Linked DNA regions of Tribolium castaneum. The protein of the gene in region 1 interacts with the protein of each later gene in a pairwise test. Links are inferred from orthologs where the notes say so. Each region holds a gene or a part of one and is shown in the gene's direction. Other genes may lie near its edges.

Region 1 (3,945 bases):
TCCTAATCAATGTCCATGCAAGCCACAAACGCAAGCATGTCTGGCAGACATATCCATATGTATCGACGACATAAACCGACAGCGTTTCTCTTGTCGACAGCATCACATTACAGCATGTTTATCCCAACCAAAACAATCTGCAATATCTTATCGGCAATATTACAGAAATATTACCCCGTCACTTGATTTTTCCCGCACCCACTCATCCTCCGGACTCGGACGTGCTAATCACAGCCACATTCTCGTTACGCAATTTCATGGCAGTCAACCCTTAAACGAAAGCCACCAGCAAATAAACAAACGCCCGCTCACAAGCCCAATTATTTATTTTTATGTTGATTACGGACGGAGGTACACGGCGAAATTCGTCGCGGACACGGGCCTAATCGAATTCACCATGGTAAAATTTTATTGTAACTGGTGCTGGCTTGATGATGGTCACGAACGGACCATGGGACATGTGACATCTGGGTCAAATATTTTAATGTTGACGCGGGACCTGCACAAAAAATGGGACTAACTCTGACTCGGATTTATGGGCGCTTCCCGGCCCCAGCCTCCCACTAAACCTTCGACTCGGAAAGCCATTTTTTAGTGCAAAAAGTATAGGCAAACTAGTACCGTTTGAAAGTACCCATAATTTCAGTTTCTGAAGCAGATCGTGTTATTTGAGCCCCGGGTTCCAGTTGGCGCTAACCTCCGCTTATTTTGACACAGTTGGCACAAAGCAATCGTTTAATTGTTCAAAAGCCGCTGATCTAGTCCTGAAACTAGTATTTAAATAAAGCCCTAAAAGCCGCTCGCAATGGCCATAATAAACACATTGTGTTATTTCCGGTGATTCGGGGGTAAAATCGGAAGGGTCGTGCGTATTTATTACGATCTTATCGATGCGAGAAAAACGAGATTTAGTTCGGATTTTCCCATCTGTTTGAAAATTTCCCAAACTTCCGGTTTCTCCAGTCCGTGGCCTCTCGAGAACAGGTATTCCTCCGCTTATTATCCACAATAAAACAATAATTATCCTGCACACTATTGGAGCCCGGAGTATCACCGCCATTGGTTCCGAAAGCTCGCCGTTAGTTCGGACTCCTTCCACCAGAGAGGTGTGCGTTCACCCCTCCTCCTCGGTTCGTGCGAGGGCTTTCAGTCTGCTGCAGGCGCGGAGGAAGGAATGTAAAGCAGTCCGGTGTCGCGACCAAGCTGAGTTTGGACTTTTGGCGATGTTTTCGCCCTGTGGCAGTGCGTAAAGCTCGAAATTTTGCGTTGGTCGGTGTCGAGTGCGGGTGGCGATGGTCCTTTGAGTGGTGTGGTCGCGAGAGCCGTCGGGTGCCACTACCATGGTGACTATAATGCCTTGCAATTACCTCAATGCCCAATCGACACGATGCGCGATAATCGATAAGATGTGCGACTCTAAGGTATAGGAATGTCAAGTGCGAAGCTCCCGTTGAAATCACTTCTTCGTTTCAGGTGAAGCGGCCGAGGCCTGATGCAACGTCGGACCCAACTGATCGCGATCGGTAAGTCTTGAAACAGTTTCAAAAAATTGGCCAAGTCCGACATGACCTTTGGTTGTTGTTCCACCGCGAGGTTTCTATTTTACATACTCCGCCGACTTTATTACCACAAGGCTCAACTCTTGTCATCTGATAAAGTCTTGTTAGTCGCCACTTTGACAGAATAATGGTCTTGTAACCGTTGTCAAATGGGTGCACTTCCATTTTAATCCGCGATTGGATAGGGGGCGATATTTATTATCTTGAGTTTAATTCGTCCACCCTGTGAAGCGTGAAGGTTGACCTTTTGTGGCGACTGTGCTCAGCTCGCAGTCGTAAAAATTGCAACACTCAAACTGAGATGTGGAATCGACGAATATTTGAATTCAAATTTTTAAGTGCAGTTTTAACTATGCTACAATTTATAAAAAGGAGAAATGAAAATTAGTAATGACGTATAGTAAATTCTCACATTACTCATTCAAGAGTTTTATAGAATATTTTGAAGCCCTGTCAATATCCGTATAGTATCTGTCTAGAAACCTACGGACAAGTAGCAGCTTTGTGGTTGTAAGTTTTGTTAAGTTTAATTTTAAAAACACTTTTTCATCATGTTTATGTTTTGTTATTTAAGCTGCTTAAACTATTCTTTAAACACTATTTATTGTATTCCAGTGTAAAAAAATCTTGAAGTTATTGTCCGTGTTACAAAAAAAATTAAGTGTTTACATACCAGAATCGAGTGATAATTAAACAAACTACTTACAAAAGAAAGTTTCGGGAATAAAATTTTTGATGTTATTTAAAAAAAATACGAAGCTTTTCGCATGAGGATGAGCTTTTCCCTTTTGTTATAAACAGTGAAGTAGTAGGATTTGCAAAAATTGTGTAAAACGTCGACTAGCATTCACATTCACAGCTTCGTGATCTGGCCATAGACGTAGCATAATCCTGCTTGTGATCGTTCAGATAATAAATTTAAATCAGATGCGGGAAAGCCAATTAATTTAGTGACACGTGGCTCTGTAAAATTTTGGGTTAATACAAAATTAATTTGGATTGCAATTAAATCTTTCGCAAACTATCCTTGGTGGTGTTAGGAAATTGAGTACCTACATACATTTAACATTTTTTAAACAGATTTTTCTCAAATTCCTGAGAAATGTGTAACGTATTTCTAAAGTTGAGTTTGGTGTTGCGAAGTATTCGCGAAGTTAAGATTTTTTTTACACGATCTAGTACGTTATACAGAAGAAAACCTCTCAACAACGGACACCGGTGGAGAATTTTTAATTGTCCGTTTTGGAGACGTGTCCATTAATGAGAGGTGGGCAGTTTAAAATAAATTATAAAATAAATTATTTTATGCATCATTCCATAAACTGCCATCAAACATTAAAATTTAATTTATCACAAAAATATATTTAAAAAAATGTTTAACTCGTACGCAGAATTTCCTTTTTATTCCTAGGTTTATTATAAATAAAAAAAAATTCATTTATAAATAAGTATTATAAAAGAAAATATACAGATTTTGTACTTAAAATATTCAATTTTTGTTTGGTTGTTTTTAGGAAAAATGTTTTTTTTATAATTTTTATTTGATACATAATACATATTCTGTAATGAAACCATTAAAATTTAAAGACCGTTAATCGTTGTTCCTATAGCAGTAACCAATAAAATTCTTTGATTTGCGATTCTAACCAGTGTTAAATTCTAACAGCCCGTTAAAAAAGTTACAGAATACACGCTAATTTCAGCTATTTTTTAACAGGTTCAAAATATTCAGAGAACATGAGTTCTAAGGCAAGTTTTCCTCTTATTACGATCGTCTTCATCAACCTTTTTATCACGTTTTTCTAAAAAAAATCATACACTCATCGATATTTAATTCTGGGCTTTCGGTTTGTCCGTTGTAAAAGGTAAATTTATTTGATATTTATTGGGGATTTTTTTGTCTGTGTCCACTATACAGAGAGTTCGTTGTCGAAAGGTTTTCTTACATTATTTTCCAATGCTCTTGTTACGTTCCTACAAAAATGTCCGTTGTAAAGAGGTGTCCATTAAGGAAAATTTTACTGTATATACTATGTATTTATTATTCTTAACCGTTTTAACTTAAATCGTCCTAGTAAAATTACTAACCCCAAACATCTTTTTTTTGGATCGGATTTAAAAATTTTAGTTATTGACTTATTGTATTTTACTAAAGAGCTCTTAAGGACATCAATGCATGCTATAATCTGTTAAAGGGAACGCCGCAACTTCGCAAAAACCTTGCATATAAAAGTTTTTCTTCAATATTTATCATTGAGCTTGTTTACGTACACCTTTCTCCTTCGTAAAGCACAAAGAGGGATAAAAGACTGCTAGGTAGTACAGACCTACTAGTTAGTTGATCTCAGCTCAAAATATTGTTTTTTTTACTTTGGTTTCACAAATT
Region 2 (4,262 bases), about 7.0 Mb from region 1:
CTAATTTAGCTAGTTTTGGTCTAAAGCAGAAATCAAAATTTTAATTTAACAAAATTGAATAACAGGCGTTATTTTATTTTACAATTTTCTGAGAATTTTTGCGTCGAGAAATCACAGTTCGAATTTTGAACAGGACGATTTCCTGGACTGCTTCGGCGACCCTGAGGTGACGGGCAAGAAGGGCAACGACATCCGCGAGGGCAAGTGCTCCTGGCTGGCTGTGGTGGCCCTCCAAAGGGCCAACCCCACCCAGCGAAAAATAATGGAGGAGTATTACGGCCGTCCCGACCCTGAAGCAGTCCGAATCATCCGAAACCTGTACGAAGAGTTGAGTTTGCCAAACACTTATGCCATCTATGAGGAGGAGAGCTTCAACATCATCCGTACACACATCCAGCAAATTTCCAAAGGACTTCCACACAAGTTGTTTTTCAAAATTATGGAGAAAATTTACCGGAGGGACTGTTAGTAGTGTGTGTGTGAATCAGTATTTTGATTATTTGCAAGATAATTGAGTTAATTTTAAGGTTTATTTTATTGGAATTTATTGCTTTTGATATTTTTTTATTTAGCTGTGCTGAATAAGTGTTTGATTCAGTTGTAATTAAGCTTTAATTCTATTGGGTATTTGGAGTTATCTTGTGAATTTTCGAGTCTTTTTCTGTGTGATATCGTGCAGGCTGGGTTAGTCGATTAGTCGTAGGCCAGTCGGCATTAAGTTAGTCGTATTTGTAAGCTGCACAAGTTTGAAATATTGTCGAATATTAACACACTTGTGTTTTTCCTTTTTTCCTGGTAAGTTTTGTTACCAACCAGAAAAGTCATTCGATTTTTATAAGGTGCATGTCTTTAATCATTGTTACGAAGTAATAATAATAAATATACGTTTATAATAGTGTTTTGTTTTATTTCGCATCAGACGATTCAATATCGTTATACAAATTGTCTTATAATACGATAAGAAGTCAAATTTTGACGTTATAAGTTTCCGAAATCTAATTGTGGATTGTGTTTTCGTTATTTTGATTAAAGTTTCTATAAAAAAAAATCACAAAAAAACAGTGCCATCTATTGGTTACACTTTTGCAAAAATGGTGGATGCGCCGGGTAACAATGGACCTATGATTTTGTTAGTCAAAATTATTGATATCAATGGGCGATCAACATAATAAGATAATAAATAATAGTTAATAACATTTTTATAAGCAAAGTAATTAAATAATGCGAATTATGCAACCAACATTACCGCTTGAATACTTTGACTATACGGAAAACGTTGAATAAGGTAAGTATATTTTTTATTTTTGCTTACGGGGCACGAGAACTTAGTTTTTTGTGTTTTTTATGAAGTGGGTAAAGGTGAAATTAAGTTAGGATCGAGTAATTGAAGGTGTGGGTTATGCAACTAGCATTGGCTGCGGCAATGTCCATCTTTCGGCGGTGGGTCGAAGCCGTGGCTGACAGTTGACACTCTCCATCTTGACATTTCCGACGGTAATGGCGGACCGAACTTGGACAATAACATCTACTTTGTCAAAATTACGCCTTTATTTTGTATAGCGAGAGGTTTTTGGTGTGCTTTTAACCGAGCCTGGAACCGTGCATTCTTCATCAAGTGGTCTCAATAATCTAGTTGAAGCGAAAATCGTGCATTTAAGTTTCGTGTGTTTATGATGTTATTTGTATTTTTTGTGCTGATAATTTAACATAAGAAGTGTGGCGAAGCAAGGAGCGATTTTTTCAGTGTCCTACTGCAGTTCCGTTATGCTAAAAGGTGGCTCGCCCCGCACCAGATAGCTATGGCGAATTTGAACTTTACAAGGAACATAGGAGGTAGCAGCCTCGGAAGATCCAGTGTTAGCTTCGGAAGTAACTCTATGTCTGGTCATGTTACCCCCGTTTTCGGGCAAAGGGCGCCTTCAGACCGGCGGGGAATTCCCGCAATGGGGTAACTATCCTTCCACCGCCATAAGCAGCTCTAGCTGACCTCAATCTGCCGCAGCTAGGGTTTGTTTATGTCAAAAGCGACCATAACCTAAGTGTCAAGCGCAAATGGCAACATTTCTGTTCTGTTGTAGAAATAGTAGCCAAATGGGTAACATGAACTCGTTGGGAGGTTATAGTTCCTTTAATTCTGTGTTTGGCTCAGGAGACACTAACACCCCTTCGTTACTGGATCTTAGTGAATTTCCCTCGTTAACGAATCGAAGTTCGGGTGATAACGTTCCACAGCCGAGCCCCATGCCGGGGGCGAAGCCCTACGTAGGAATGGTCAAGCAGCCCACGTCCGAAGCGAGTGAGTTTACTATGTCGTCAGAGGACTTTCCTGCGTTGCCGGGAACGCAAAATCGGGAGGGCGTATCGCCCGGGGGGAGCACGTCGGGGGAGAAAAACAACACGGGGGGTGGAGGCGACGGCTCCTCCAGTGCCCGGGAGAACGACAAAAACAGCGCGAAATCCGGTGAGTGCCACTTATCTCAGCTAAAATAACATCGATAAGGCGATTGATATTTGTTTTGATAACTGATTTTGCGTTTTATTTTCGAGGAACGCCGTCGATTTTTCCTTATTTTTTACACAAAAACTTTAAACTTGTAAATTAGCCCAAACTGCTTTTTGTTATTCCTAACAGTTTTGATTTTCATTTATTGTGCGAATAATTCGCTGAACAAAGCTTGCAAAGAGTGGATAAAATCTGAAACAATTAAAATGGCAACTGACCCGTAACATAAATGCGTTTTACTTAGAAAGGTGTTAAAAATACCGTGCGTTCAAATAAATAAATAAATTATATTGACCACAATTTTTCTCATAGTTGGGTAAAAAATTATTGGCAACACTAAATTATCGGTGATTTTAGTTGCTAATGTTTATAAAAATTGTTGAAACCCAACCGTGAAAATATTTCCCAAAGGGTGTGTGATAATAACAGGTGTTGCCATGTATTAGGGACAAAAAACTGTTTACTATATGTAAATGTTGGTGTCACTGAATTACGTTGTTATAAATGCATTGATTATAATATAATTATACCGATTTTGCAAGATTTTATTTTGAAGACATTTCCGATAATACAGTGGAATAATCCGATTTTTATTTACGTTTAACGAGCAATTTTTAAACTTGTTTTTGATGAAACGTGTCTGTGCAAATACGTTTTTTTTTTAATTTTTTTTTATAAAACGGTTAATCGACAACTGGTCGAAACACACGCGAGAGATTAGGTAACCAAAATAAATTAAAAAATTGGAGAACCACAAGCATTCGTTGTAAAAGGAAAAAAATGTTTGTAGAGAGTAATTTTCGAAAGTACAGTTAGCTAAGAAATACAGTTGTGTAAATAAATAATGATTTTGATTTATGAAAGTTTAAACAAAAGCGTGTCATTGTTGTGAAACACTGCAAAAACTGTTTTTGTCAGTTCATTTATCCTCAATTTATTAAAATTCCTAAAGGCTTGAGTAACTGATAAAAATAATTGTCAGAAAGATAGAGTATATCAACTGTAAAAACACAGTTGAAAATCCAAAAACAACACTTTTTGTCGTATTTAATGAATTTTTGGCTTGTTTTAACGAAATTTCGCGATATAATTCCTTTTTTGGCTGTAAAACGTATAAAAATGCTCTAAAATAATGTAAATTTTAAGATACATGTGTGTCTTTTCTGCCTGTTTTTGCGAAAACTGTCCGAGGATTTATTTCAAAAAAGTGTTTCAAAACTTAAAAATGTTTTGGCTTATTTATGAAGAAATTTTGCTCAAAATGGAGTGACATAAACAAAGAACAACAATTTCGATATATTTTTGGTAATTTTACGATATTTTTGATATAAATATGTCTCCAGCAGTTCAAGAGTTGAGTAAATCTAGCCAACCAAGCTAAAACAAGATTAATTTCGATCTAATTTGGTTATTTTTAGCAAAAATTTTCGAAAAATAATTGTTCAAAAGACAGAGAAATAACTAAATTACCATTCTTTTTTTATTTATTAAAGATATAAAAAGCTTTATAAAAAAAGTATAGTGATCTATGCGATGTTTTAAATCGTATGTCTTTTTTTGTTTTTGGTTCTTGTTGAAGTACGTGTTTATGGGATATGCATTTTTGAACAATAACATTATGTTTTTTTAACTTTACGAAAAAATTTGCTAATTATGTTTTCATCTTCGTTAATAAACTTTTGGTGAAAATGCCGAAAAAAATTGTTGAAACTACATTTTTTCAAGACTCAAGTCAATAATTCTTCTCTCAAATAAATAT

Evidence for each region. The genes of interacting proteins can lie anywhere in the genome.
Region 2: the proteins of eya (region 1) and Rga interact in a two-hybrid assay, tested with the Caenorhabditis elegans proteins (2 studies listed by BioGRID). The link is inferred for Tribolium castaneum from reciprocal best matches to the Caenorhabditis elegans genes eya-1 and ntl-2.1.

The regions. Positions count from the first base shown.
Region 1 is NC_087396.1:15,480,452-15,484,396, forward strand, and holds the start of eya (eyes absent homolog 2), read left to right. Parts: upstream 1-1,140; 5' UTR 1,141-1,340; coding exon 1,341-1,421; intron 1,422-1,473; coding exon 1,474-1,523; intron 1,524-3,945. UniProt on the Caenorhabditis elegans protein: Tyrosine protein phosphatase. Acts probably as a transcription regulator in the embryonic and postembryonic development of several tissues including pharynx, vulva and gonads. Required for the development of anterior tissues during late embryogenesis.
Region 2 is NC_087396.1:22,481,523-22,485,784, forward strand, and holds the start of Rga (regulator of gene activity), read left to right. Parts: upstream 1-1,455; 5' UTR 1,456-1,799; coding exon 1,800-1,948; intron 1,949-2,078; coding exon 2,079-2,461; intron 2,462-4,262. Other genes in the region: Fpps (farnesyl pyrophosphate synthase), read left to right, coding at 134-469.